6 linked regions of the Macaca fascicularis genome follow. The protein of the gene in region 1 purifies or fractionates together with the protein of each later gene. This does not show direct contact. Links are inferred from orthologs where the notes say so. Each region holds a gene or a part of one and is shown in the gene's direction. Other genes may lie near its edges.

Region 1 (4,764 bases):
CTAAGGTATCCACGAAAAAAGATCACCAAGCTGTATTAGGTGAAAAAAGCAAGGTGGCACATTGTATTTTACCATTTTGTGCAAAAAGAAGGTAAAATTTTTAAAAAGAATATATGTCTATATTTGCTTATTATGCATAAACTATCTGTTGCCCATTGCTGCTCCATCTATACCATGTGGGTGGTAGGATTACAATAAATATTGCAAATACTAGAACAGTGCCTGTCACACTAAAACACCATTTTATTTGGATTCTCAGTCCAAGTAGTTCCTTGGCTTAATCATATTCTAAAATACCCCTTTAAATATATATATATATATATATATATATATGTGTGTGTGTGTGTGTATACACACACATATATATATAGTGTTTTTCTGAGATGGAGTCTTACTTTGTTACCCAGGCTAGAGTGCAGTGGCACGATTTCTGCTCACTGCAACCTCCTCCTCCCAGGTTCAAGCGATTCTCCTGCCTCAGCCGCCCATGTAGCTGTGATTACAGGTGCACACCACCATGCCTGGTTAATTTTTGTATTTTTAGTAGAGACGGGAGTCTCACCATGTTAGCCAGCCTGGTCTCGAACTCTTACCTCAGGTGATCCACCTGCCTCAGCCTCCCAAAGTGCTGGGATTACAGGCGTGAGCCATCACACCTGGCTATCATCTTTTCTTCAGCGGTAGATACAGCAGATAAAAAGATTTAAAAATCATTTTCACGTGGCAAGCCATGGCAAAATGTAACTACTTAAGGCTGCTTTAAATTAGACTAATAGCAGAGTGATTAGACTATATTGAAAGCTCAGTGAATCACAATTATGTACCTCAAAGAAGGATTCTTGTTTGCCTTATTACTATGTAAATAACTGAAATAATTGTTTTTCTTCCTAAAAGGGGTCATGTAGATGTTTACTTACAATGTATTTTAAGTTTGTCACTCTAAATGGTTATGAGCAAGCGAGACCGTCCTGGCTAACACGGTGAAACCCCGTCTCTACTAAAAATACAAAAAATTAGCCGGGCGTGGTGGCGGGCGCCTGTAGTCCCAGCTACTCGGGAGGCTGAGGCAGGAGAATGGCGTGAACCCGGGAAGGGGAGCTTGCAGTGAGCCGAGATCGCGCCACTGCATTCCAGCCTGGGCGACAGAGCAAGACCCCATCTCCAAAAAAAAAAAAAAAAGGAAAAACCTTCAACAAATATCACCTTAGATTATAACCCCAAAACATATTTACGAGCCTCAACATCATTACTGTTACCGCTTTAACATTTAAGACAGTAAAAAGCATAATGGATCTCCCGTACGGTGCGGGGAATCCGTTATGATTATGTTGAAAACATAGGGTCTGGGGAAAAAGGGATTTAAAATAAGAAGGAAAAAAAAGACTTGAGACTTAAAAAGTTTTTTAGAGGCCAGCTCACGGTGACAAAAACCGACCCTCACCCCGAGCCACGTGAGGTTTTCTGCCTCCTCCCTGGCCTTTCCTTCCGCAGTCAGAAGGCGGAAGAAAAGCGACCTCAAGGTGGGGGGAGAGACAGGGCGGACCCTGGCGACCTGACGCTGGGGAGGCTCGAGTGGCGGATCCATACCGCTCAGCTGTTCGCCGCGGGACCCCGCCGGCCCGCAGGTGACCCAGCGCTGGAGAAACGCCAGCGATGTGGCCTGGCGAGCTGGCGCGGCGCAAGGACCACCCGCGCCCGCCTTGCCGCCCCAGCCTCCCTCCCTAGGAAGCCGGGCGCGCCGGGTGAGCGCGGGGCTTCCCCGGGACCGGCGTTCCAGTCCCTCTCCAGCTTCCGGCCCACCCCTGCCGGACTGAGAGCAGATATGTGATCTCTGCCCTGAGAAAATGCTCGTGGCCAGCGACTACCCCAACGCACAATAATACGGCTCCGATGGGCTCAAAGGTATTGGTTTTTTGTTTTGTTTTGAGACAAGGTCTCACTCCGTCACCCAGGATGGAGTGCAATTGCGTGATCTTGGCTCACTGCAACCTCCGCTTCCCGGGCTCAAGCGATTCTCCTGCCTCAGCCTCCCGAGCAGCTGGGATTACAGGCATGCGCCACCACGCCCGGCTAATTTTGTATTTTTAGTAGAGACAGGGTTTCACCATGTTGACCAGGCTGGTCTCGAACTCCTGGCCTCAAGTTATACGTCCGCCTTGGCCTCCCAAGGTGCTGGTATTATAGGCATTGAGCCACGGCGCCCGGTCCAGTGTTGGTTCTTAAACGCAAGAATTGAGATCTCCCTTCACCTAATGAAAGTCTCTATCGCAAGCCACTATCGCAATACTCAGAACACCCAGTCGGTGTTGCGCAATAGGTTACTAAGGTATAAATCAAGGATTCATGTAATTTTGCCATTCCTTGCGTGATATTTTAAAAAACATTCTCTGTAAGGTATTTATAAAGCGTTTACTATTATCCGCAATCACAGGGGCTTGAGGAAAAACTTTTGACTGTGGCTGGGCGCTGTGGCTCACGCCTGTAATCCCAGCACTATGGGAGACTGAGGCGGGTGGATCACTTGAGGTCAGCAGTTCGAGACCAGCCTGGCCAACATGGTGAAACTCCGTCTCTTCTAAAAATACAAAAATTTGTGGGGCGCGCTTGTAGCCCCAGCTACTCCGGAGACTGAGGCAGGAGAATAGCTTGAACCTGGGAGGCAGAACTTGCAGTGAGCCGAGATCGCGCCACTGCACCCCAGCCTGGGCAACAGAGTAGGACTCCATCCGGAAAAAAAAAAAAGGAAAAAAAAGTGGACTGTGAAAACCGAATGGACTAGGAAAACTTTATACTACAAAGATACAAAAACCAAGAAAGCACCATACGCGTTTGCCTTTAACTGCTTCCCAACTTGTTTTCCTCTTCCAATTTGATTGTGGGTTCCTCTCCAGAAGGAACTCCACAGTACTTAGCGTTGGCCACATAGTAGGTTCTCAAATACTTGTTAATAAATAAGTTTGTTCGAGAAGCTGGGCAGTAATATTCTACAGCTGGAAGAAGAAACATAATGATCTAGTAATTAGCTCATTAAAAATAAACGTTCTTCATTCCTCAGAGGAGCATTTCCCAAGGCCTGTCTTGATAGCCATCCAAAACGGCCAAGCTCATCCAATCTTGCCCTAGATTTATGCTAAAATGCAGTTACAATCTATAGGATGACAGAAAAAGAAAGCACTTATTTAAATATAATAGGCACTTATTTAAATAGGAGAAGCTGTGACTTCATAGCAAGTGTTGGGGTTAGGAAACTGGGTGGATAAACTTGCTGATGCTGTAGATCTTAGTCTCTACATGAGATCACGTGGAAAATCTGAATTTGAAAGCTTTTTAGCTTCCTTATGTTTGCAATCAAATGACTGTACACCTTTTAATTTAAAAAGTACCATGAGGCACACACACACTCGCAGGAACTTTTTGGCGTAACAAAACTAGAATTAGATCTAAAGCTAACTGTAGGACTGAGTCTATTCTAAACTGAAAGCCTGGACATCTGGAGTACCAGGGGGAGATGACGTGTTACGGGCTTTGATAAAAGCAGCTGGCTTTGAATGGAAGGAGCCAAGAGGCCAGCACAGGAGCGGATTCGTCGAGCTCACGGCCATCGAGCCGAACCTCTCGCAGGTCCGTGAGCCGTTAAGGAGTCCTCCAGTCCAGACCCTTCGCCCCAAGCCCCTCGGGGTCCCCGGGCCTGGTACTCCTTGCCACGCGGGAGGGGCGCGGAAGCCGGGGCGGAGGAGGAGCCAACCCGGGGCTGGGCTGAGACCGGCAGAAGACGACGCTCTAGGGATTTGTCACGGACTAGCGAGATAGCAAGGCTGAGGACAGGAGGCTGATTGGGGGGCGAAGGTACACCCTAATCTCAACACAACCTTTGGGGCTAAGCTAGCAATGGTAGAGGAAAGATTCTGGACGTCCCTTCCAGGCCGCCACCTCGTCGCCTCCCCCTCCCCCTCCTCTTCCCCCCCCGCCCCGGCCGGAGCTGAGAGTAATTCATACAAAAGGACTCGCCCCTGCCTTGGGGAATCCCAGGGACCGTCGTTAAACTCCCACTAACCTAGAACCCAGAGATCGCTGCGTTCCCGCCCCCTCACACGCCCGCTCTCGTCATCACCAAGGTGGAGAAGAGCATGCGTGAGGCTCCGGTGCCCGTCAGTGGGCAGAGCGCACATCGCCCACAGTCCCCGAGAAGTTGGGGGGAGGGGTCGGCAATTGAACCGGTGCCTAGAGAAGGTGGCGCGGGGTAAACTGGGAAAGTGATGTCGTGTACTGGCTCCGCCCTTTTCCCGAGGGTGGGGGAGAACCGTATATAAGTGCAGTAGTCGCTGTGAACGTTCTTTTTCGCAACGGGTTTGCCGCCAGAACACAGGTAAGTACTGTGTGTGGCTCCTGCGGGCCTGGCCTCTTTACGGGCTATGGCCCTCGCGTGCCTTTTATTACTTACACGCCCCTGGCCGCTGTACGTGATTCTTGATCCCGAGCTTCGGGTTGGAAGTGGGTGGGAGAGGTCGAGGCCTTGCACTTAAGGAGTCCCTTCGCCTCGTGCTTGAGTCGAGGCCTGGCTTGGGCTCTGGGGCTGCCGCGTGCGAATCTGGTAGCACCTTCGCGCCTGCCCCGCTGCTTTCACTAAGTTTCTAGCCATTTAAAATTTTTGATGACCAGCTGCAACGCCTTTTTTCTGGCGAGATAATCTTATAAATGCGGACCAGGATCTGCACACTGATATTGGGGTTTTGGGGGCCGCGGGCTGCGACGGGGCTCGTGCGT
Region 2 (4,991 bases), about 40 Mb from region 1:
CGCACCCGGCCCATTTTATTATCTCACAATAAGACATGAAGAAAATGGTAACTATAACACTTGCATAATTCATAAAGTCCTTTCTGTTGGTTATCTCAATTCTGTCCACAACAGTCAAATAAGCAGATTTTACAAACAAGGAGTTGAAGCCCTGCAAAGTAAAAGGATTTTCCTAGGATCCTACAGCTAATATAGAGACAAATTGAAACAAGTTATCTGATTGTGTATTTTGAGTTATTTCCACTCCCACAAAATGACTGTTTTCATTTCCCTAAAACATAGAGCATTATATTTTAAGTGGGAAGAGAGGGCTTACACAAGTTGATGTTCCCTTATTTAGAAGGCAACTTAGAAATACATTGATCTGCCCGCCGCGGTGGCTCACGCCTGTAATTCCAGCTCTTTGGGAGGCTAAGACGGGCGAATCACGAGGTCAGGGGATTGAGGCCATCCTGGCTAACATGGCGAAACCCTGTCTGTACCAAAAATACTATATATATATATATATATATATATATATATATATATATATATATATATATATCTGTGTGTAATCGAATGTGAATGAACAATGATGTTGACTCGATACTACATTTCTGAGTGGCCAGACTGCAACATCCTGGAGGACAGGGAACTAATTATTAATCATTTTGTAACCATAGTTCCTAATTTGGTGGATACATAGTAACTATCAAATAAGTGAATAAATCTCTGGGAAGAAGCTGGTGGACTCTGTCTTGAGCCCATCCAATTTTCCCCCATCAATTTCCCCTCTCTCCTTTTTCAATACTGGGTATCTTGCAGAGTTGCAATGGCGGCCACCTGGTCAGTGAAATAAGCGAATTGAAAAACCACTGACTTCATTAACATGTATAAAAAGGTAGGCTGAAAAAACTGAAAATCTATCAGGCATCTCATTCCATAGTTCCCTGTTTGACAAGAAGATCAAGGTGTCTTCAAAGTCTGCCCTAAGGCCCAGATCTCCTACGTGGATGGAGACTTCTAGTTTCACAAATCCCCGATGTCGGTTTCTCTAAACTATTTTATTCTTTGAACATACTCTCCAGACAACATCTCTATCCTGAAAAGCCCTTGCTGCAATTTTGTTTCTCTTTCAAAACAATGACTCGAAAATTTCCAAGGAAATAGCAAGAGGGCGATTCCCTTCTTGAAGTATTTGAGAGAGCAGAAGCTTACTTAAGTTCATGACTTGGGTCACCAAAGGCCAGAGGTAGCAGAGCACGGTGCCACACTCCTCCCCATTTTTCGCTGAGCTAAGCAATTCTGTCTTCCCTAGAGGTACTGCAGCTGGGAGCTTTTAGGGCGTACCTCACCACCCAACTTCTGGAACCCCAGACTTCTCAATCCCTGCATCCCCGGGAACTGCTCACTTTTTGTACAAAAACCTCAGGCACAGAGGAAAGGAATCTTGCGCAAGGTCGTTTTTCATTTACAAAACAAAAACCCAACAAAAACCAAACCGGTACCCACCCATTCGTCACTTCATTTTGCACCGTGAACAACAATAGGGGACTACAACTCCCAAAGAGGACTGCGCTCGTCCACTGGCTCAGAGGCCAATGGACGCCTGGTACATGACCGGCATCGACTAATCAGGGCCAGGCTCGATGAGGCTTTGTCTCCCGACCGCGCGCGGGGCCGATTCTCCCGCCTCCCAGCCCCGGCGCACGCGCGCCCCGCCCAGCCTGCCTTCCCTCCGCGCCCTCCCCTCTCCTTTCTCCCTCTCAGAACCTTCCTGCCGCCGCGTTCGCACCTCGCTGCTCCAGCGTCTGGGGCGCGTTCCAACCTTCCAGCCTGCGACCTGCAGAGAAAAAAAATTACTTATTTTCTTGCCCCATACATTCCTTGAGGCGAGCAAAAAAAATTAATTTTAACCATGAGGGAAATCGTGCACATCCAGGCCGGTCAGTGTGGCAACCAGATCGGTGCCAAGGTAAGAATTTTACACCTCTTTTATTTCTTTTTAGAAGGAAAAATCCAGGTAAGTTATGAAAAAATGGTTGTGGGGCATTTGCACTCTCCATTCTTAATCAAGCTTTGCCCCTCCCAAGTTTGTTACATTTATATATATAATAACTAGCATTTGCTTTTGGAAAACTGGGAATCATTTTTCTTGGCAGGCACATTTTGGAGAAACTAGTAAAAGGGCTCTTCGGGTTTCGGGGGCGGGAAGACCAAGGACATATGTTACTTAAAAGGGCTTCTAACGGTCCAAGAACCGGGCAGGGAGAGAGATGCGGAAACAGTCGGAGACAAAGCGGGGCGAGGTTTTGCCCATGTGCATCCCGCCCAGCCCCCCCTGCGGGGTTCTTAGGGCCAAACGGGAGCGGGAAGGGGTGAGGCTGTCGGGCGGCTGCAGAGAGCTCCAGTGCAAAGGTCGGGGGGCGATGCGCCAGGGTGGGCTGCGCTGGGCGCTACCATTCACAAAAGATCAGGGACCCCAGGGCGCCCGCGACCCCGGAGGGCCGGTCCTGTAGTTGTTCCGGGGTGGAAGGAGAATAAGAACGGGATTAATTTTTCTTGCTTTCATGGCACCTAAGCGAGACCTCTTTAGGGCGTGAACTGATATGTCGAGAAAATGGGGGTGTGTGGTTTTCTTTAACGAGTCCTTCAGGACTTAATGGGAGAGAAAGAATGCTTTAAATCAAGGGGGAGAAATCTAGCAAAGGAATAAAATTCCGAGGCCAAGGGTTTTTTTTTTTTTGCGCGCGGTTACAGTGTAGCGGGGGAGGGGCGGGAGGAAGTGCGGGTGCTACGTTGTAGCAGAAGGGCGGGGCCCTGCGGGGCGGGGCCAGGGCGCCGCTGGCGCGCGGGGACAATGCGGCGTTGCCCGCCGGGAGGGGCGCGCTACCCTGGGCCCCGCCCCTCGCGCGGAATTCTTGCCCCTGGCCCCGCCCACGTGCGAAGTCTTTTGTCGGCGGCTCGACCTGCGCGTGCGCCGCAGTCACGTGGAGGGTGGGGGGTGGTCGACTGCGGCAGCAGCTCTTCTAGTGCCCCGAGCCTTTTGTGCGCCGCGCGGTGGGGCGGTGCCCAGCTCGGGGGAAGAACAGCGGCGCTTATCCAAGTATGGTCGACCTCCATCCGCCCACCGAGCACTTGGGACCCGCTGCACATAATCCCGAGCCGGGAAAGCTGTGGCTTTCCCGGGGGAGCGAGTGTCTAGGGGAAGGGTGTGGCAGGCACACGGGATGCCAGGCCCTAGAACAACGGCCTGAGCGCGTGTGGGATTAAAATGGGAGATGTGGGGCTGAGGCGGGCTAATTGGGATCGCTCCCGCTCAGGGGTTTGAGACCATCCTGGGCAACAAAGCGAGACCCCTCCCCCCGGCCACATCTCTTCAAAAAAAAAAAAAAAAAATTAACTGGGTGTGGTGGCGCGCGTCTGTGGTCCCAGCTATTCGAGAGGCTGAGATGGGAGGATCGGTTGAGCCTGGGAGTTTCAGGCTGTAGTGATCCGTGATTGCACCACTGCACTGCAGGCTGGGCAACAGAGGAAGACCCTGTCTTAAAAATTAAAAGAAGCTGGGCGCGGTGGCTCACGCCTGTAATCCCAGCACTTTAGGAGGCCGAGGTGGGCGGATCAAGAGATCTAGACCATCCTGGTCAACATGGTGAAACCCGTCTCTACTAAAAATACAAAAAATTAGCTGGGCGTGGTGGCGCGCGCCTGTAGTCCCAGCTACTCCGGAGGCTGAGGCAGGAGAATCGCTTGAACCCGGGAAGCAGAGGTTGCAGTGAGCCGAGATAGCGCCATTGCACTCCAGCCTGGCGACAGAGCGAGACTCCGTCTCAAAAAAAAAAAGAAAAAAGTTAAGAAAAAGATGAAATAAAATGGTAGTTGGGGACGTAGTTGACTGGGACTTGACTTGTGGTCTCGTTGCTCCTGCCCGGCAGTTCTGGGAGGTGATCAGTGATGAACATGGCATCGACCCCACCGGCACCTACCACGGGGACAGCGACCTGCAGCTGGACCGCATCTCCGTGTACTACAATGAAGCCACAGGTAAGGGCAAGAGCCCGGGCAGCTCAGGTTCCCCTTCCCTGTCTCCCACTTCTCTGGGGTCTCTTTCCATTCCTGGCACGCCTTATCCCCTTTCGGTGAATCTATCATTTTCTCCCTTTTGTGAACCACCGTCGGGGCCAAAGACGTCTGCTGCCACCTGGTGGCAGGACCTGGAACAAGTCTTGGGTCCCTGCTGTCTTCCATTCCCAGTGTATCTATAAACCTTTCCCTCTGCCAGATCTCACAGCTCTTAACTTTATTCTTTATAGGTGGCAAATATGTTCCTCGTGCCATCCTGGTGGATCTAGAACCTGGGACCATGGACTCTGTTCGCTCAGGTCCTTTTGGCCAGATCTTTAGACCAGACAACTTTGTATTTGGTAAGTTATACAGATGATATTAGCAGATGATATACTATCGTGTTCAACTTATTTGGGTGCAAGGACACAGCAAAAGTTAGGAGATGATTGTTGTACTGGAGTGCTAAGAACTGTATTCTGAAATCTAATGGAGGGTAGAGGTAGGGTAGAGGTAGTGCCTGCTGTTGCTGGTACATTATGGGGCAGTGGGGGGAGAATACATCACAGTGAAGGAGAAAGAAGATACATCCAAGGGAATTATTTCTAAAGTTGAAAGATGGAAACATCATGTATCTTCCATACCCTGTTAATTGAGCTTTTCTCCTGACTGCATTCCAGGTCAGTCTGGGGCAGGTAACAACTGGGCCAAAGGCCACTACACAGAGGGGGCCGAGCTGGTTGATTCTGTCCTGGATGTGGTACGGAAGGAGGCAGAGAGCTGTGACTGCCTGCAGGGCTTCCAGCTGACCCACTCACTGGGTGGAGGCACAGGCTCTGGAATGGGCACTCTCCTTATCAGCAAGATCCGAGAAGAGTACCCTGATCGCATCATGAACACCTTCAGTGTGGTTCCTTCACCCAAAGTATCTGACACCGTGGTCGAGCCCT
Region 3 (4,797 bases), on another chromosome or scaffold:
GTCACTAGTGCTCCCTGGGCACCGAGCTCCCTCTTAGCGGGGAGAAGACAGTAATGAAAAATGACAAGCATGAGGCAGAGGGGAAGATGGCGCCCCCAAATCACGCTTGGTGGTGCAGGAGCATGGAGGTGCTCTTAACGCTCTGGATGGGAAAGGGTTAATGGTCCTGGTTGCAGGAATAGCTGAGTCAGAGGTGGGGCTTCCTCCACTCCCCCACCCCACCCTTCCACCATTAAGGACCCTCTTGCCTTGCTCTTGCTACTCTGCTCTGGGTGGTCATTGTGAAAAGCCCGCACCAACCATGCCAATGGCAGCCAGACGAGGACACAGCCTGGTTCTGGGTCCCAGGAGGAAAGGCAATCCCAGAAAGGCAGGGACAAGGACTGGAGTCCTGTGGGTGCCTTTTAAGCAAAGATTATCACCAGGCGGGCTAAACTTAGCAAACGGCTTTTAGCTAGAAGGGCAGGGGGCTGGTGTCAGGTTATGCTGGGCCAGCAAAGAGGCCCAGGATCCCCCTCCCATGCACCTGCTGATGGGCCAAGGCCACCCCACCCCACCCCCTTCCTTACAAGTGTTCAGCACGCTCCCATCCCACACTCACAAACCTGGCCCTCTGCCCTCCTACCAGAGAAATGGATACCCTGTGGGAAGGGGCAGGGGGCCTGTTCCCACCATGTGCCCAAGACCTCTTTTCCCACTTTTTCCCTCTTCTTGACTCACCCTGCCCTCAATATCCCCCAGCGAAGCCAGTGAAGGGGAGTCCCTGGCTCCTGGCTCGCCTGCACGTCCCAGGGCGGGGAGGCACTTCCGCCCTCACGTCCCGCTCTTCGCCCCGGGCTGGATGGAGTGAAAGGCACACTGTCTCTCACCCTAGGCAGCACAGCCCACGGGGCTCCAGGAGTGACTTTGTGGGAGGCCTCTGGGCCCCCACCAGCCATCCTGTCCTCCGCCTGGGGCCCCAGCCCGGGGAGAGCCGCTGGTGCACACAGGGCCTGGATTGTCTGCCCTAATCATCAGGTCCAAGCTACAGGGCTGCAGGACATCGTGACCTTCCGTGTAGAAACCTCCCCCTCAAGCCGCCTCCCGAGCCTCCTTCCTCTCCAGGCCCCCACTGCCCAGTGCCCAGGCCAGGCCTCGGTCCCAGAGAGGCCAGGAGCCAGGAGATGGGGAGGGGGAAGTGGGGGCTGGGAAGGGCCCACGGGCCCCTCCTAGCCCTTTGCTTCAGCTATTCCGGTGTCACTACCGCAGAGCCTCGAGGAGAAGTTCCCCAACTTTCCCGCCTCTCAGCCTTTGAAAGAAAGGGGAGGGGGCAGGCCGCGTGCAGCCGCGAGCCGTGCAGGGCTCGGGCTCCAATTCCCCATCTCAGTCGCTCCCAAAGTCCTGTTTCATCCGTGCGTGTAAGGGCCCCCGTCCTTGACTCCCTAGTCTCCTGCTGCCCACACTCCAGTCCTGGGAAGCAGCACCGATCACCTCCCATCGGGCCAGTCTCAGTCCCTTCCCCCCTCCGTCGGGGCCCACACGCTTGATGCGTGCCCAGTTGAACTAGGCGGCTGCGGAAAAAAAAAAAGAGCAGGGAGAAAGCAGGGCCCCGCTACTCGCGGTTTTACGGGCGCACGTAGCTCAGGCCTCAAGTCCTTGGACTGGGACTGGCTGAGCCCGGCGGGAGGCGGGGTCAGAGTCACCGCCTGCCGCCGCGCCCCCGGGTTTCTATAAATTGAGCCCGCAGCCTCCCCCTGCGCTCTCTGCTCCTCCTGTTCGAGAGTCAGTCGCATTTTCTCTTGCATCGCCAGGTGAAGACGGGCGGAGAGGAGCCCGGAGGCTAGGGACGGGCCTGAAGGCGGCAGGAGCGGGCGTGGGCCGGACGTGTTCGCGCCGCTGCGGGGTGGGCGCGGGCCAGGGTCCGGGTCCGGGCCCGGGCTGCCTCCGCATTGCAGGGGCGGGCGGAGGACGTGATGCGGCGCGGGCTGGGCATGGAGGCTGGTGGGGGGAGGGGAGGGGAGGCGTGGGTGTCGACCGGGACCACTAGGCGCTCACTGTTCTCTCTCTCCGCGCAGCGCATCCCTGAGACACCATGGGGAAGGTGAAGGTCGGAGTCAACGGGTGAGTTCGTGGGTGGCTGGGGGGCCCTGGGCCGCCCGCAAACTGCGTCTACGAGCCTTGCGGGCTCCGGGTCTTTGCTGTCGTATGGGGTAGGGTAGCTGCGTCCGGCAAGGAGAGCTCAAGGTCAGCGCTCGGACCTGGCGGAGCCCCGCACCCAGGCTGTGGCGCCCTGTGCAGCTCCGCCCTTGCGGCGCCATCTGCCCGGGGCCTGCCTTCCCTAGTCCCCAGGACAGGAGGTCCCTACTCCCGCCCGAGATTCCATCCGACCCGGACCCCTAGCTGGGGACGCTTTCTTTCCTTTCGCGCTCTGCGAGGTCACGTGTCGCAGAGGAGCCCCTCCCCCATGGCCTCCGGCACCGCAGGCCCCGGGATGCTAGTGCGCAGCGGGTGCATCCCAGTCCGGAGGCTGCGCCTGCGGTAGAGCGGCCGCCATGTTGCAACCGGGAAGGAAATGAATGGGCCGCCGTTAGGAAACCCTGCCGGTGACTAACCCTGCGCTCCTGCCTCGGTGGGTGGAGTCGCGTGTGGCGGGGAAGTCAGGTGGAGCGAGGCTTCCCGGCCCCTGCTCTCAAGTCGGCCCCTGAGCTGCAAGCCCTATTTCCCCTCCGGGTGATGCTTTTTCTAGATAATTCTCTGGTAAATCAAAGAAGTGGGTTTATGGAGGTCCTCCTGCGTCCCCTCCCTCCAGAGGTGTGGTGGCTGTGGCTTGGTGCCAAGCCGGGGGGAGCTGAGTCATCGGTAGTTGGAAAAGGACATTTCCACCGCAAAATGGCCCCTCTGGCGGTGGCCCCTTTCTGCAGCGGCGGCTCACCTTATGGCCCCCTCTTCCCCTGCCAGCCTAGCGTTGACCCCCCACCCCAAAGGCCAGGCTGTAAATGTCACCCGGAGGATTGGGTGTCTGGGAGCCTCGGGAAACCTGCCCTTCTCCCCATTCCGTCTTCCAGAAACCAGATCTCCCACCGCACCCTGGTCTGAGGATAAATATAGCTGCTGACCTTTCTGTAACTGGGGGCCTGGGCTTGGGCCGTCTCCCATCCCTTCTCCCACACACATGCACACACCTGTGCTCCCACTCCTGAATTCTGGAAAAGAGCTAGGAAAGGACTGGAAGCTTGCAAATTAAAGCCCTGGGACTAGGGGGTTAAAAAACAACTTCCCCTCTTCCCCCGGCCCAATCTCTGTCCCTTTTGTAGGCGGGACTTAGAGAAGGGGTGGGCTTGCCCTGTCCAATTAATTTCTGACCTTTACTCCTGCCCTTTGAGTTTGGTGATGCTGAGTGTACAAATCTTTTCTCCTTAAACGGTGCAGTTTGAAGCTGAGCTAGGCAGCAGCAAGCATTCCTGGGGTGGCATAGTGAGGTGCTGAATGCCACGTGCAAAGCTTGTGCCCAGACTGTGGGTGGCAGTGCCCCACATGGCCGCTTCTCCTGGAAGGGCTTCCTATGACGGGGGGTGTTAGGCAGCAGTGGAGCCTTCAGTTGCAGCCATGCCGTAAAGCCAGGCCAGCCTGGCAGGGGAGCTCAAGGGAGATACAATTCACCTCTTAATGGAGGTAAGGAGATGCTGGGGGTAAGGAGATGCTGCATTCGCCCTCTTAATGGAGAGGTGTCCTAGGGCAGCTCACATACTGTGGAGAAGCCTCCTCTCCTCATGCCTTCTTGCCTCTTGTCTCTTAGATTTGGTCGTATTGGGCGCCTGGTCACCAGGGCTGCTTTTAACTCTGGTAAAGTGGATATTGTTGCCATCAATGACCCCTTCATTGACCTCAACTACATGGTGAGTGCTGCCCCAAAGCTGATGTGGGAGGAGCCACCTGGCTGCCAGGCAGCCCCTTCACACCCTTGCGTATTCCCCCAGGTTTACATGTTCCAGTATGATTCCACCCATGGCAAGTTCCATGGCACCGTGAAGGCTGAGAACGGGAAGCTCGTCATCAATGGAAGCCCCATCACCATCTTCCAGGAGTGAGTGGAAGGCAGTGGGAGAAATGTGCTGTGGGGGGCAGCTAGGGTGGTGCGGCTCCCTTGGGTACATGGTAACCTCGTGTCCCTCAATATGTCCTATCCCTGTCTCCCCCACCCCATAGGCGAGATCCCTCCAAAATCAAGTGGGGCGATGCTGGCGCTGAGTACGTCGTGGAGTCCACTGGCGTCTTCACCACCACGGAGAAGGCTGGGGTGAGTGCAGGAGGGCCCGCGGTAGGGGAAGCTGGCTCAGCCCTGCAGAGGCAGAACCCGGGTTTATAACTGTCTACTTCTCTGCTGTAGGCTCATTTGCAGGGGGGAGCCAAAAGGGTCATCATCTCTGCCCCCTCTGCTGACGCCCCCATGTTCGTCATGGGTGTGAACCATGAGAAGTATGACAACAGCCTCAAGATCGTCAGGTGAGGAAGGCAGGGCCGGTGGAGAAGCGGCCAGCCTGGCACCCTGTGGACACGCTCCCCTGACTTGCGCCCCCTCTTTGTTTGCAGCAACGCCTCCTGCACCACCAACTGCTTAGCACCCCTGGCCAAGGTCATCCATGACAACTTTGGTATCGTGGAAGGACTCATGGTATGAGAGCTGGGGAATGGGACTGAGGCTGCTGCCTTTCTCATGCAGGGCTGGCTCCTCCTCCCGGCCAGGGCTGCATGCAACCCTGGGGGCTGGGCCTTCTGGGGACTGGCTCTCCCATAATTTCCTTTCAAGGTGGGGAGGGA
Region 4 (4,334 bases), about 38 Mb from region 1:
CTACTTGAGTGAAGAAATGGGACTCAGAGGTGGTGATTTGTTGGAGTGGGGTGGAGGGAGGCCAAAAGGAGGGTTGTGGTGGGAGATGGAGGCGGGCCAAACCTTGTCTCACACCTCTTCCCCTTCCTGCCAGGCTGTGCTGGGGGCCCTGGGCAGGGCCTTGAGCCCCTTGGAGGAGTGGCTTCGGCTGCACACCTACTTGGCCGGGGAGGCCCCTACTCTGGCTGACCTGGCGGCTGTCACAGCCTTGCTGCTGCCTTTCCGATACGTGAGTCACCAGGCCTGGGGAAGAACAAGACTGCTTCCCTCAAACCTCACTATAGGGTGACTGAGAATAGTCATTTATTTCGTGTTCCAGGTCCTAGACCCACCTGCCCGCCGGATCTGGAATAATGTGACTCGCTGGTTTGTCACGTGTGTCCGGCAGCCAGAATTCCGAGCGGTGCTGGGAGAAGTAGTTCTATACTCAGGGGCCAGGCCTCTCTCTCATCAGCCAGGTGAGGCAGGGTGAGGAGTTGGAGGATAGGGGCTTCCATGGGGCCTTCCATGCAACTCACTTTCTTTTTTTCATAGAAATGGCAGAATCACTGGGGCAGGGTCCTGCGGGAGAGGAGGGGGAGGGGGGAGGCCAGCATGGGCGAGACCTCGGGCATCTGAAATAGCCCATCTGAAACCTAGTAGTGCCATCCAAGAGGGTCCCCAGCTGGCTGAGTCTGAATTTCTGTGCTTCTCTCTAGGCCCCGAGACTCCTGCCCTCCCAAAGACAGCTGCTCAGCTCAAGAAAGAGGCAAAGAAACGGGAGAAGCTAGAGAAATTCCAACAGAAGCAGAAGATCCAACAGCAGCAGCCACCTGCAGGGGAGGTGAGAGGCGAGGGTGGAGCTGGAAGGAAAGTTGCTGTGTGCAGTGATGGGGTGGCTGATGCCTGGGCCTATGTCTTCTCCCTCCCAAGCAGAAGAAACCAAAACCAGAGAAGAGGGAGAAACGGGATCCTGGGGTCATTACCTATGACCTCCCAACCCCACCCGGGGAAAAGAAAGGTACTAGGAGTGGGAAGGGGCTCACCTCTCAGCAGCCCCTTCCAAGTTTTCACCCTATCTTGCTCTGTTCTTGCTCTCACCACTTTGTTTGGTGAGGATTTGCAGACCCCCTCCCCTGCCCCTAGGCCCCTCAAATGCTTGTCCTACGATGTAAGCGACATTCAGAGAGGGAGATCCTGATCCCTCTCTGCTAGCCCGTCTCCTTCCTGGTGCTCTCAGCCACGCACTGAGCCCTCCCTTCCTCTCCCCCAGATGTCAGTGGCCCCATGCCCGACTCCTACAGCCCTCGGTATGTGGAGGCTGCCTGGTACCCTTGGTGGGAGCAGCAGGGCTTCTTCAAGCCAGAGTATGGGGTGAGTGGGCACTGCTGCCCAGGCCCAGAGTGGGTGGGGTGGGGAAGGGCAGGACTGAAGGACGTGTTGCCTGGGAGGGGCTGGGAGAGGTGACCTGAGGCCTTAAACATGTGCCATCCTTCTCCACCATCAGCGTCCTAATGTGTCAGCAGCAAATCCCCGAGGTGTCTTCATGATGTGCATCCCACCCCCCAACGTGACAGGCTCCCTGCACCTGGGCCATGCGCTCACCAACGCCATCCAGGACTCCCTGACTCGATGGTGAGCTCCTATCCGCACCTCCCTCTGGTTCCCTCTGCCTCATCTGGCTCTCTCCTCTTGGCTGACAGCCCCCCAGCCTCTCTCCTTCTGGGTTGGTGCTTACCTCTGCCCCCAGAGGCGCTACACTTCTCTCTCTCATTCCCATCTGATCATGTAGCTTCCTCTCCTAGTCCAGTACTCCCATGCAACACTGCCACTTGCAGACTCTCTTCTCTCCCTTCTTTCTTTATTTAATTTTAATTTAAGTTAATTTAAATTTTTGTGAAGATGGGTTTTCACTTTGTTGCTCAGTCTGGTCTCCAGGTCAAGTGATTCTCCTGCCTCAGCCTCCCAGGGTGCTGGAATTATAGGTGTGAGGCACCACACCCAGCCTATCCCTTCTTTTTCTAGTAACAATAACATTATTTTGAATTTAATTAAAAAAATATATATATATATTTTTTTTTTTTTGGAGACAGAGTCTTGTTCTGTTGCCCAGGCTGGAGTGCAGTGACACCATCTTGGCTCATGGCAACCTCCGCCTCCTGGGTTCAAGTGATTCTCCTGCCTCAGCCTCCCAAGTAGCTGGGATTACAGGAATCTGCCACCGCAACTGACCAAAATATATGAATATATTCTTTTTTTTTTTTTTTTGAGACAGAGTCTCGCTCTGTCGCCCAGGTTGGAGTGCAGTGACCGGATCTCAGCTCACTGCAAGCTCCCCCTCCCGGGTTTACACCATTCTCCTGCCTCAGCCTCCTGAGGAGCTGGGACTACAGGCGCCCGCCACCTCGCCCGGCTAGTTTTTTGTATTTTTTAGTAGAGACGGGGTTTCACCGTGTAGGCCAGGATGGTCTCGATCTCCTGACCTCGTGATCCGCCCGTCTCGGCCTCCCAAAGTGCTGGGGTTACAGGCTTGAGCCACCATGCCCGGCCTATGAATATATTCTTATAAGAAATTTAAATTTTCAAATCCCCTTGACCACCCCCCCACACCTACTTCCTCCCAAGATTTAGCCATTGTTATCACTTTGATGTGTATCTTTCCAGATCTTTCCTATTTACTTACATATACATGTACCCATAGAAATTTATAGTTCTCCTTTTGGGTGAGTCTTTTCTATATTTTAACATAAAGGGTTCACATTACACATGTTATGCGCTAGCTTTCTTCTTACACTTAACACTTTCTCTTGGAGATCTTTCCTTGTCCTTACACACATACCACACATACTGACTTCCTTCTTTTTCATTGTTCCATAATATCCCATAGTGTGGCTATACCATAGTGAAGTCACTCTTTTTTTTTTTTTTTTTGAGACAGAGTTTCGCTCTTTTTGCTCAGGCTGGAGTGCAGTGGCGCAATCTCTGCTCACTTCAACCTCCACCTCCTAGGTTCAAGCGATTCTCTTGCCTCAGCCTCCCAAGTAGCTGGCATTACAGGCACCTGCCACCACACCCGGCTAATTTTTGTATTTTTAGTAGAGATGGGGTTTCACCATGTTGACCAGGCTGGTCTCGAACTCCTGACCTCAGGTGATCTGCCTGCCTCAACCTCCCAAAGTGCTGGGATTACAGGCGTGAGTGAGCTACTGCTCCCAGCCTGGAGTCACTTTTTAATTAATGGTTCTTTCTGGTTTGTTGTTGTTGTTGTTGTTGAAAACCTTACTCTAATGCACATCCCTGTATATCAAGCTTGTCCAGCCTGCAGCCTGTGGGCCACTTGTGGCCCGGGAAGGCTTTGAATGCAGCTTAACACAAATTTGTAAACTTTCTTTAAGCATTTAAGATTGTGTGTGTGTGTGTGTGTGTGTGTGTGTGTTTTAAGCTCATCAGCTATCGTTAGTGTTAGTGTATTTTTATTTATTTATTTTTATTTTTTATTTTTTTTGAGATGAGTGTCGCTCTGTCGCCCAGGCTGGAGTGCAGTGGCACAATCTGGGCTCACTGCAAGCTCCAAGCTCCGCCTCCCAGGTTAACGCCATTCTCCTGCCTCATCCTCCTGAGTAGCTGGGACTACAGGCGCCCGCCACCACACTCAGCTAATTTTTTCATTTTTATTTTTGCTAGAGACAGGGTTTCCCCATGTTAGCCAGGATGGTCTCGATCTCCTGACCTCGTGATCTACCCGCCTCGGCCTCCCAAAGTTCTGGGATTACAGGCGTGAACCACCGCGCCCGGCCAGTGTTAGTGTATTTTATGTGTGGCCCAAGACAGTTCTTCCGTGTGGCCCAGGGAAGCCAAAAGATTGGATACCCCTGCTGTACATGCTTGCTCAAGCATGTGTGGAAGGGTTTCACTGGTGTAGCTATCAAGAAGTGAAACTGCTAGGTCGGCAGGGCACACCTATATTAAGTACGCACAGAAGCTGCCAGGTTGCCCTGCAGAATGGCTTTGCTGATTGATACCTCCAGGAATTGCTGTGAGAGGATTCATTTCCCCACCCTTTCCAAGCCTGAGCATTAGGGTTGCCTAATTAGTTTTGCCAATCTGATGGACAAAAAAATGATACCTCTGTTACTTTACTTTGTACTTTTCTGATTACTATTGAAATTGTACCTATTTCCATATTTCTTGGCCAGTCAGGTTTACCCGTATGTGAATTGTCTGTATCTATCTTTTGCTTGCTTTTCTATTGATTCTTTGTTGTTTTTCTTTTTAATTTTTTTTGAGAATTCTTTACCTGTTCTGGGTATTGATTT
Region 5 (4,970 bases), on another chromosome or scaffold:
CACACAGCCCCTCCCCTCTTGACACTGGCAGTGACCTCGGACTGAAATGTTCTTCCCTGGCCCCTCCTTATCCTTCAAATCTTGGCTTCGAAGCCTTTTCTCAGTTTCATTGACCAGCCTATCTAACATTTCCTGACGATTCCCCAGAATATCACCCATTTTATTCTTCTTTACGGACTCATTTCTGGCTCGTAGTAAACGTTCAGTAACTGTTAAGTGAACTGAATCTCTAATTTCTGGTCGTTAATTTGTAGGGACCACTTTCCCGGATTTAAAAAGTGCAGGTGCTCTGGCAGCGTTAAGTCGGTGAAAACAAGAATATTCCGCAAAACAAAAATAACCTGTTTATTCATCAAAAAGTTATTGTTACACTTCTATACTGTCAATTCGTGTGTGAAGCTGTGTCTGATCCAAGACCTCACAGTACAAGCATAGATCCCAATAACTTGTAAACAATATTTTGTTATTCGCAATGCAACCCTGAGCTAACTTTTCAAAAAGTCATTTTTCTCAATTTCCCGTTAGTGAAAGGAATTTAAAAATTCTGTCCAACGTGGTCAATGGACAAAACAAATAAGGACAACAGAAGCGTGAGCCACTGCTAACACAACAGCGACCAAACAATCATGTACTGTACCAGGCGTGTAAAAATCTGGGGGGAAAGGCTCAGTCTTAAGGCTTAAGTCATCGGACACTGGTCCTCTCCCGGGGAATAAAACGGCCTCCTCTGAGAGGGGAATGTCCTGAATTTTCCCTGCAGAGGGAAGGTCACCTACAAGCCCGCATTCGGGCCAGCGCTCCCGAGGGCCCCCTAATCCTCATCTTCCTTTCTGCTCCATCAGACCAGAGACCGTGGCTAAAAGCCCCACTTGCCGGCTCTCAGAGGCTTCCGAGGCGGCGGGGCGGGAGGCGGCTGCCAGTCAAGGACAAGAGAAGACTAAGTCGCGTGGGCCAAAGGAAACAGTCCCGTCAATAAATAAGCCTCTGACCCATGCACCTCACCCTTCCCATCCATACAAGACCTCACCTTCTCCCCGGAGCCGCGGAGACTGTTCTGCTAAACTGTCTGGACCACAACTACCCCCTTGGAGGCCGGGTCGCTTACTCAATATGGCGGCCTCAGCTAACTCTGTCAGCCGGGCCTGGAGAACGGAAAGCCCGGAGGGACTAGAATCCTTGCATTCGATAAGTTTGTCGGCAATTTCCGTCAGCCGACCAGAGGGCGGAGCTGAGGTCGGCCCAGCCCGGAGGCGGGAAGGACAACTTGGACCCGCAGTTCCGCCGGAAGTGGCCGGCAGCCTCGAGGCCGAGCGTCTTCGGTCATCTCCGGCGCTTCTAGGGGCGGTTCCCGTCATCTTCGGGAGCCGTGGAGGTATGAACTTAAGACATGCCCATTTTATTAATTTATTTCCAAACGCAACGAAAGATCCAGGGACAATTTGTGAGCCGTTTAATTCAGGGCCCCCAATTCGTACGTGGAGAAGTGGGAATGCTAACGTACTTTGACCTTTAACCTTCGGTCCGGCGTGGTGGAGGGAAACGCCTCCGTCTCTATATAAGGAATTTTCCGGCTTCTCCGGGCCCTTTTTCCTCTCTTAAGCGCGGGGAGCCCACAACTTGTGCGCTCTCTTTCTGCTGTTTCCCAGCTCTCGGATACAGCCGACACCATGGGTTTCGGAGACCTGAAAAGCCCCGCCGGCCTCCAGGTGCTCAACGATTACCTGGCGGACAAGAGCTACATCGAGGGGTGAGCGGACCGGCTGAGTCGGGGTGGTGGAGGGGTTTCTGGGACCGGGGCCGGGGCCACGTGGCGCAGCGTGTCGGCTGCCGCTGGAGGGAGGGAGACCGGGCCCCAGGGCCCTTTCGAGGATGACGGGAAAGCGCCCCGTGGCCATCTCCCAAGGCCCTCGTGTGGTGCGAGCCCGGCCTCCGGGGAGCGGCTCACGAGCAAAGGAAGGTTAAAATGTGCTTTATTTACACTTAATTCAGCCAGGTGTTTCCACATCGCTGCCCAGTTAATACATGTTAGGTTGTAGATAGAGCAACGTTAGAGATTGCAGTATTTGAGGTCTGCAGACATTTCTCAGGATAGCGCGGTGACCCAAACATATGGTTTGATTTTAAGGAGATAATAAGAAAAGAAAAGCATTAAAGCAATCCTACTGGAGTTAGTGCCCACTAATTAATGTGATGCATAGGCACTGATTATTTATTCGCTGGCGTTTGTTTTTCAAAGGTGTGTGTGAATGTCTCTGTGTCATTGGCAGGTATGTGCCATCACAAGCAGATGTGGCAGTATTTGAAGCCGTGTCCGGGCCACCGCCTGCTGACTTGTGTCATGCCCTACGTTGGTATAATCACATCAAGTCCTACGAAAAGGAAAAGGCCAGGTAAAATCATCTTTGTATCTAGCTGAAGAATAAGACTACTCTCGAAGCTTTATCAGGATGTTCACATGACAAAACTAGACCCAGGCTACTTTAGTTTTGTTGGGGTATTGTAAGCTAAATTTTTCTGTAACCTGAGAAGGCCAAGAGACTGAAGCCCTCCATTTTTTCACAGAACAGGTAGAACATGGACAGCAGCAATTCAACTTTTCCCCACACTGCCCTGCCAATGTGCCTCGACCTTGACCTGGGGGGCCCACCTCTGGGGTGAGAGGGTGGCTCATTCATTCAGTCCTTGGCCATTCTTCTGAAACTGCCAACAAGGGTGGAAGTTTGGGGAAGTGGACTCCAGTTCACTAAGAATGGAACTGAGCATACTTAATGAAATCTCAAACAGAAATGTTCATACTGAAAGAGTAAATCATAGTGAGTATTGAAAATAATGTCTCACATGGTACTAATGCTTGTCGGGTGAGGAGTTGAACATATGATAGTGTTTACCTGGGAGCATGTGAAAGGGTAAATTATTATTGCAAAAGGGATCTAGTGATAAGTAGTGATTAAAACAAGTTATTTTGTATTGTCTGGAAAAGTATGTTATACTAGCTCAATAGTGGTTGAATTTAAATGTTTTTCAAGCCTGCCAGGAGTGAAGAAAGCTTTGGGCAAGTATGGTCCTGCTGATGTGGAAGACACTACAGGAAGTGGAGCTACAGATAGTAAAGATGATGATGATATTGATCTCTTTGGATCTGATGATGAGGAGGTATGGCATCTTCTATAAAGAATATATCGGCCAGACACGGTGGCTCACGCCTGTAATCCCAGCATGTTGGGAGGCTGAGGCGGGTGAATCACGAGGTCAGGAGTTCAAGACCAGCCTGACCAAGATGGTGAAACCCTGTCTGTTCTAAAAATTTAAAAAAATGTGGCGGGTGTCTGTAATCCCAGCTACTCAGGAGGCTAAGGCAGAGAATTGCTTGAACCTGGGAGGCGGAGATTGCAGTAAGCCGAGATCATGCCACTGCACTCCAGCCTGGGCGACAGAGCAAGACTCCGTCTCAAAAAAAAAAAAAGAATACATCGATCAGCAATTTTATCAATGTGGTTAAGCCAAATTGCCTGGATTTGAATCCTGGCTTTAACTTATATGCCTTTTTCAAATTCTGACTGGTTGCATGATGAATAAAATCAAATCACCATCTTTCGGCTGAGTTCGTGATGGATTTGCTTTTTTCTGATTAAGCCAGTCTTTTTTGTGATGACCCCACTAGCTTTAAGCAGAGGACAACCGACTTTCTGAAGTGGATTAATTTTTTTTCTTTACAGGAAAGTGAAGAGGCTAAGAGGCTAAGAGAAGAACGTCTTGCACAATATGAATCAAAGAAAGCCAAAAGTAGGTCATTTGTTTTTAACTTCATTTCATGATAATGTAAGTAATCTTTTTCAAAGCTTGACCTTTAAGTAATTTCCTCCACATTCCTTGAACAGGTCAATATTTTAAAACCTCCTGTAGAAGTTCTTCCACAGCTACTGGTCTGCAGCTGTTCTTATGGTAGCAGTTGTGGCATTCCTCTGTGGGAAAGAAACTGTTAACACAAACACCTCTTTCTTAGCAAAACAGAAAGTGGGCATATGTGTGACAGACACAAGATGTATCTGTAGTTTTGTTTGGCTAAGGAGATAGTCAATCTCAAAACAAATTGAGGTGATTTGTTTGTGTCTTGGAGTAAGGTAACAAAATACAGTTCATTATTTGAATAATGCTGTTTATTTTTTTAGAACCTGCACTTGTTGCCAAGTCTTCCATCTTACTAGATGTGAAACCTTGGGATGATGAGACAGATATGGCAAAATTAGAGGAGTGCGTCAGAAGCATTCAAGCAGACGGCTTAGTCTGGGGCTCATGTGAGTTTAGGCTTTGCCTTTTTTTTTTTTTTTTTTTGAAACTGACATCTGGAATTTGTATACAGCTTCAACCTTCCTCTACAAGACTTTTCTAACTAAGATTTTTCTTAATGCTCTTTTTAGCTAAACTAGTTCCAGTGGGATATGGCATTAAGAAACTTCAAATACAGTGTGTAGTTGAAGATGATAAAGTTGGAACAGATATGCTGGAGGAGCAGATCACTGCTTTTGAGGACTATGTGCAGTCCATGGATGTGGCTGCTTTCAACAAGATCTAAAATCCATCCTGGATCATGGCATTTAAATAAAAGCTTGAAAGATTACCTTTGGCTCTTGAGTATGTTACATAGGAGGGTGGTGTATATATTCCTTTCATTTTGAGGGAAGGAATTAAATGAATATGTGATTCCTAAATAATAAAAATTTGGTTCGGCTTTGTTGTTAGAAAATTGTAGTGCAGGCCAGGTGTGGTGGTTCATGCCTGTAATCCCAGCAATTTGGGAAGCTGAAGTGGGTGGATTGATACCAGGAGGCTAATACCAGCCTGGGCAATGGGGAGAGATCCTGCCCCTACAAAAAAATACAAAAATTAGCTGGGCTTGGTGGTGCACCCCTGTATTCCCAGCTATTGGCAGATTGAGGTGGGAGGATTGCTTGAGCCCAGGAGGTTGGAAC
Region 6 (5,085 bases), on another chromosome or scaffold:
GCCCAGGCAGGAGTGCAGTGGCCTGATCTCGGCTCACTGCAACCTCCGCCTCTCGGGTTCAAGCGGTTCTCCTGACTCAGCCTCCCAAGTAGCTGGGATTTCAGGCGTTCACCACCACGCCCGGCTATTTTTTTTTTTTTTTTTTTTTAATTTTTAGTAAAGACGGGGTTTCTCCATGTTGAGTAGGCTGGTCTCGAACTCCCAACCTCAGGTGATCTGCCTGCCTTGGCCTCCCAAAGTTCTGGGATTACAGGCGTGAGCCACTGCACCCAGCCTAACCCCTTTTTAATTTTTTAATTTTTTTGAGACGGAGTCTCGCTCTGTCACCAGGCTGGAGTGCAGTGGCGCGATCTCGGCTAACTGCAACCTCCGCCTCTCGCCTAACCCCTCTTTCAATGAAAACCTTTCCATTACATCTCTGAAATGCCCCCACCTTGCAAGGAAAAAACGGCTGCGAAGCGCCCAATAGGGAACCCAACACGTAGTAGGTGCTTAGTGCATTTAAAGATTTTGAAGAATTTTATTATTAAGAACGAGAAACGGAATACCTCTCTGCTCAAAACTCAGCCCCCAAATGGCGCATGCGCTTGACTTGTAACTTAACATTAAACGCGTCACCGGCACAGGTGTAGGTGGTTAGGGACCCCGGGCGCTCACATCTGCTCCCTGCCATGCCATCTGCCTTTCGGAGCCTCAATTCTTTCAGAAGATACTTTCCGTTTTCCATCGGGTTAAATGGTGATAGCAATAGCAATCATCCATTAAATGAAAACCAAGGTTGAGACAGCGCTTTGTAAAGCAAAGTGCCCGAAGCATTTGTGAGGGGGAGGAGTGTACAGGTTTATTTTAGAGTCCAGGCTGGAATTTGCATTGCTTTTTGTGGATCCACACCTCCCCCTCTCTCAGCCCAGGAAAAGCACTGCAGTGGCTCTTCTGTTTCACAAAGTGAGTTTAGGGAAAGACGTGCCGCAGGGGGTTCATTTGCACTGCGAGAACATCATTCATGCAAGAAATACTGAGTACCTACTATGTGCTAAACAGCGGGCTGGGCTTTTCATAAGGAATAGAGATACTCAATTGAATGCCAATTCATGAGCTATGAAACACATTCAACTGTTTCTTAGGGTCAGATTAGGACACAAATGCTAAACAGTCTTCCTGCGCCTCCCCCTGGAGAGGAAATGAACTAGAAAATGAAATTGTGCCAGTAAAGCGCTTAGCCGGGTGCCTGGGACATGGCAAACCAGTCCTGAAATAAATGTTTTATTAATAGCAATCTTAGCTAATTAAAATACATAGCGTTTATTGAGCGTTGGGTATCAGGCACGGTGCTAATTCTTTTAGATGTCTTTAGTTCGTTTTAGCCCACCTCAAACAATAGAGTGGTATTGATCACCTCCGATTTACAGACGAGGAAACTGAGGCAAAGAGAAATCCTAGTAGTTAGTAGAAGTGCACGCAGTGTGGTCAAGCTAGCAAGGTGTTTTGTCCACTGCTGTATCTACAAAACCTCTAACAATGCCTGGTGCATAGATGCTCAGTATGCATTTGTGGGATCAGTGATTCCGATGCCTGCTTCTTATAAATCTTTTTATTTTGAAATAATTGCAGGTAAGGAGTTGAAAAACAGTATAGTCGTCGCGAGTGTCCTTTTTCCTTCTGCTTCTCCCAGGGATATCGGCTTACATAACAACGCCCAAACCGGGAAATTGACTTGGGTAAAATCCACAGACTCTATTCACCTTGCAATGTGGCTTTAATAGAAGTGCTGGACATTTTGTAAGCTGATATCGTTGCTATGGTTCTTATTCTCAGCTAAAACGGCGCTCTTTGCTTTGTGCACCTGAACACTGCACACCGAGGGCGACCACCATCCCCGAGACGCCCAGACTGTATCCTAAATCAGCCTCGCCAGCGCCGAATGGGTTAACGGGGGAGTTGTGCGGGAACGCCTCCGTGCGCTTGCGCGGCGTCACTTCGCCCCGCCTCCGCAGCGCAGTCACATGACCCGCCCAACCGGCGTCCGCCTATAAAGTGCTGAGTGTTGACGTCAGCGTTCTCTTCCGCCGTCGTCGTCGCCATCCTCGGCGCGACTCGCTTCATTCGGTTCTACCTGGGAGAATCCACCGCCATCCGCCACCATGGTGAGTAACCCTGCCTCGCTGGTGTCCCGGAACGGCGGCGGGACCTCCGCGGGGCCGACGCTGCCTAGACGCTGGGGTCGCCCGTGCCGGGAGGAGACGTAGCGGCGGCAGAGCCGGAGGAGCCGGGGCTGGGGCAGCGGTCGCCGCCATGTCTGTGCGCCGCACTGTTCACGGAGCCCCTTCTCCGCTTCCGGGGGCGCCGTAACCTTGCCCAGACCTGGCTGGAGCTGGGGTGTTAGGGAGGATGGGGGTGGGGTATGATGATGTGGCAGGCGTTGTAATGGCGGGCACCGCGGTGGAAGCGGGGAGACGGGGAGGCGCCTTATGTAACTCGCGGGCCGCGAGTTTGAGATCGATTTTCTGCCGGGGGACTAGGGGCGGCAGGGAAATGGCAGAACCAGCAAAGCGACACCTGAAAGGTTCCCCTTTTCCTCCCAAATATCTTCTCCTGATGCTGTTAACTGTCGGCCCTAGGCGCTTGTCCTTGTGACTCCGAAATGTGCAAAGACTCGTTTTGAGACACGAGGTGTAGGCTTGTGGCTGTTAGGGCCGTTCCGGCTCCCCGTTATCTCCTGGGGTGGGTGGCCTTGTGTGATCCCTCTTGCCGAGGGGTGACCTTGCATTTTATTATGACAGTTTTTGGTCGGGGAAGCCTGGGTGGCCCGATGACAACGTGGAGGGGGCTTTGGGAGAAGGTTCACCCCTTGCGTGTTTGGCCTCTAATAACTCTTCAGTGTTTATATGCGGTATCAAGGAAATCTGTTGCCACTGAGTTTTATTTCTGAGCGCTTTTATTTCTGGGTTGTCCGTTCTGGATGACATCTGTTGACAGTGGATCCTTGGAGATTGTGGGGTAGTTCTCAAGGCGTGTTAGGCTGGCAGGATTGGGTGGGCTTCGGGTACCCCAACACCAGTCCCCTCCTGGCCTTGGGCATGCTGGTTCGTTTGGACCGAACGCTCCATGCCAAGCCGTGTTCCTGGAAATCTCGAGCTGGTCTGAGCCTCCCCTTCTTGCCCAGGTGAACTTCACGGTAGACCAGATCCGCGCCATCATGGACAAGAAGGCCAACATCCGAAACATGTCTGTCATCGCCCACGTGGACCACGGCAAGTCCACGCTGACAGACTCCCTGGTGTGCAAGGCGGGCATCATCGCCTCGGCCCGGGCCGGGGAGACACGCTTCACTGACACCCGGAAGGATGAGCAGGAGCGTTGCATCACCATCAAGTCAACGTGAGCTCCCCGTGCCCTCTGTACCCAGGCAGGGAGGTGTTGGCCTGGCAGCTGGAGGCCACTGGGCCAGGGTGGGCGGGGAGAGACTAGGCAACGTCTCTTTCTCCTGGTTTCTTAATTCATGGGAGAATGAGTGAGGTTCAGTCCAGCGAGACGGGGATCAAGAGTCACAGGGATTGGGGGTACTGCGAGCCGGAAGATTTTCTTGAGAAGGGGCTTCACTCAGTGGTTCTCCTTCCCTGGGGGACTTGCCGCCACTCCTACAATATCTGGAGGGGTTTTGCTGTCACACCTGGAAGGGGGGGTGTTCCTGGCACTCAGGATGCGGGAAGCTCTTGTGTTGCACTGGATGGCGTTCATTCCGTGACAGTTTCTGGCCCCTGACGTGAGTGGGGTGAGAGTCTAAAACGTGAGCGCAGAGCACAGTGATCCCAAATGCCTTTTGTCCTGGGTTGGCACCATAGTGAGGGTCTCTGGCTAAAGCTCTTCATTTTCACTGGAGCAGGGGCAGAAGTGAGGAGGGAAGGGTCAGAGTCTCTGAAGGCTTTTGCTGTCCTGCGGGGTCTTTTCATTGCTACTTTGAGTCAGGTGTGATGAGTCTTGGGGGGACCAAGTCGGTGGGGCAGAGTGTCTGGTCAGGAGGGCTCTGAGTAGCTGGCTGTGGGGCTGGTACCAGGAGTTCCCTGTCGGGGGGGCGGGGGGCCTGTCTCGGACAGAGTATTGTGGAGGCAAAGGACAAGGGTGGGTTGGGTCTTGTGGGTGGGTTGGGTCTTGTGGGAGCCTCTCAAGGGATGAGTCATGGAGGGAGGAGCAGCCTGGCTTCTGACAGCATCCCAGCCTCCCTGGGCCAGGTGTGTGCATCCTGTCCCCCTGATGGATCCCTCCCTCCATCAGTGCCATCTCCCTCTTCTACGAGCTCTCGGAGAATGACTTGAACTTCATCAAGCAGAGCAAGGACGGCGCCGGCTTCCTCATTAACCTCATCGACTCCCCCGGGCACGTCGACTTCTCCTCGGAGGTGACCGCTGCCCTCCGAGTCACTGATGGTGCATTGGTTGTGGTGGACTGCGTGTCAGGTAAGCAGCGGGTCCCCCTGAGGCAGGGCCTAGAACCCGGGGCCTTCCCTGTTTGAGGATGACAGCGCCGCCCCGTGCCCTGCATCCCTAGGCGTGTGTGTGCAGACGGAGACAGTGCTGCGGCAGGCCATTGCGGAGCGCATCAAGCCTGTGCTGATGATGAACAAGATGGACCGTGCCCTGCTGGAGCTGCAGCTGGAGCCCGAGGAGCTCTACCAGACCTTCCAGCGCATTGTGGAGAACGTGAACGTCATCATCTCCACCTACGGCGAGGGCGAGAGCGGCCCCATGGGCAACATCATGGTACGGCCCTCCCTGGCTGGGTGGTGTGCCCGCCGCAGTGGGCACCGCAGGAGCTGGCGGGGAGCGGAGTTGAGCTGAGGGGACTGGAAGTGTGTTTTTGCCAGGAATGTTGGGGTGACAGAGAAGGGGGCTGGAATGTTCTCAACCTTCTTGACCCAGCCCTTGATCTTTGGGCAGCTGGAAGTGGCGAGCGCAAGGAACGGTGTTGTGGGTGGTGGAGGGGCTGGCCCCCTTGTTCGTGATGACTGATCATTTCTTCACTTTGACCTGATGTCTACTGAAGAAATCCAGCGTCTGAGGCCCATGCCTGAGGCACCTAGTCCGCAAC

Evidence for each region.
Region 2: the proteins of EEF1A1 (region 1) and TUBB fractionate together in Homo sapiens (co-fractionation; 3 studies listed by BioGRID). This does not show direct contact. The link is inferred for Macaca fascicularis from reciprocal best matches to the Homo sapiens genes EEF1A1 and TUBB.
Region 3: the proteins of EEF1A1 (region 1) and GAPDH fractionate together in Homo sapiens (co-fractionation; 3 studies listed by BioGRID). This does not show direct contact. The link is inferred for Macaca fascicularis from reciprocal best matches to the Homo sapiens genes EEF1A1 and GAPDH.
Region 4: the proteins of EEF1A1 (region 1) and VARS1 purify together in Homo sapiens (affinity purification with mass spectrometry; 3 studies listed by BioGRID and IntAct, counting the BioPlex papers as one, with this or other methods). This does not show direct contact. The link is inferred for Macaca fascicularis from reciprocal best matches to the Homo sapiens genes EEF1A1 and VARS1.
Region 5: the proteins of EEF1A1 (region 1) and EEF1B2 purify together in Homo sapiens (affinity purification with mass spectrometry; 3 studies listed by BioGRID and IntAct, counting the BioPlex papers as one, with this or other methods). This does not show direct contact. The link is inferred for Macaca fascicularis from reciprocal best matches to the Homo sapiens genes EEF1A1 and EEF1B2.
Region 6: the proteins of EEF1A1 (region 1) and EEF2 fractionate together in Homo sapiens (co-fractionation; 3 studies listed by BioGRID). This does not show direct contact. The link is inferred for Macaca fascicularis from reciprocal best matches to the Homo sapiens genes EEF1A1 and EEF2.

The regions. Positions count from the first base shown.
Region 1 is NC_088378.1:101,521,000-101,525,763, forward strand, and holds the start of EEF1A1 (elongation factor 1-alpha 1), read left to right. Parts: upstream 1-1,493; 5' UTR 1,494-1,902; intron 1,903-4,331; exon of another isoform or gene 4,332-4,366; intron 4,367-4,764. UniProt on the Homo sapiens protein: Translation elongation factor that catalyzes the GTP-dependent binding of aminoacyl-tRNA (aa-tRNA) to the A-site of ribosomes during the elongation phase of protein synthesis.
Region 2 is NC_088378.1:141,932,156-141,937,146, reverse strand, and holds the start of TUBB (tubulin beta chain), read left to right. Parts: upstream 1-1,738; 5' UTR 1,739-1,897; coding exon 1,898-1,954; intron 1,955-2,971; exon of another isoform or gene 2,972-3,085; intron 3,086-3,914; coding exon 3,915-4,023; intron 4,024-4,292; coding exon 4,293-4,403; intron 4,404-4,721; coding exon 4,722-4,991. UniProt on the Homo sapiens protein: Tubulin is the major constituent of microtubules, a cylinder consisting of laterally associated linear protofilaments composed of alpha- and beta-tubulin heterodimers.
Region 3 is NC_088385.1:7,455,086-7,459,882, forward strand, and holds the start of GAPDH (glyceraldehyde-3-phosphate dehydrogenase), read left to right. Parts: upstream 1-1,737; 5' UTR 1,738-1,882; intron 1,883-2,054; 5' UTR 2,055-2,071; coding exon 2,072-2,100; exon of another isoform or gene 2,101-2,608; intron 2,609-3,408; exon of another isoform or gene 3,409-3,749; coding exon of another isoform or gene 3,750-3,775; coding exon 3,776-3,875; intron 3,876-3,956; coding exon 3,957-4,063; intron 4,064-4,185; coding exon 4,186-4,276; intron 4,277-4,366; coding exon 4,367-4,482; intron 4,483-4,569; coding exon 4,570-4,651; intron 4,652-4,797. UniProt on the Homo sapiens protein: Has both glyceraldehyde-3-phosphate dehydrogenase and nitrosylase activities, thereby playing a role in glycolysis and nuclear functions, respectively.
Region 4 is NC_088378.1:139,923,195-139,927,528, forward strand, and holds part of VARS1 (valine--tRNA ligase), read left to right. Parts: intron 1-133; coding exon 134-268; intron 269-358; coding exon 359-497; intron 498-737; coding exon 738-862; intron 863-951; coding exon 952-1,039; intron 1,040-1,291; coding exon 1,292-1,392; intron 1,393-1,525; coding exon 1,526-1,653; intron 1,654-4,334. UniProt on the Homo sapiens protein: Catalyzes the attachment of valine to tRNA(Val).
Region 5 is NC_088386.1:102,092,128-102,097,097, forward strand, and holds EEF1B2 (elongation factor 1-beta), read left to right. Parts: upstream 1-1,582; 5' UTR 1,583-1,667; coding exon 1,668-1,747; intron 1,748-2,267; coding exon 2,268-2,390; intron 2,391-3,026; coding exon 3,027-3,153; intron 3,154-3,557; exon of another isoform or gene 3,558-3,636; intron 3,637-3,716; coding exon 3,717-3,783; intron 3,784-3,909; exon of another isoform or gene 3,910-4,039; intron 4,040-4,169; coding exon 4,170-4,295; intron 4,296-4,418; coding exon 4,419-4,573; 3' UTR 4,574-4,618; downstream 4,619-4,970. UniProt on the Homo sapiens protein: Catalytic subunit of the guanine nucleotide exchange factor (GEF) (eEF1B subcomplex) of the eukaryotic elongation factor 1 complex (eEF1).
Region 6 is NC_088393.1:4,703,219-4,708,303, reverse strand, and holds the start of EEF2 (elongation factor 2), read left to right. Parts: upstream 1-2,058; 5' UTR 2,059-2,141; coding exon 2,142-2,144; intron 2,145-3,163; coding exon 3,164-3,378; intron 3,379-4,272; coding exon 4,273-4,454; intron 4,455-4,545; coding exon 4,546-4,757; intron 4,758-4,991; exon of another isoform or gene 4,992-5,057; intron 5,058-5,085. UniProt on the Homo sapiens protein: Catalyzes the GTP-dependent ribosomal translocation step during translation elongation.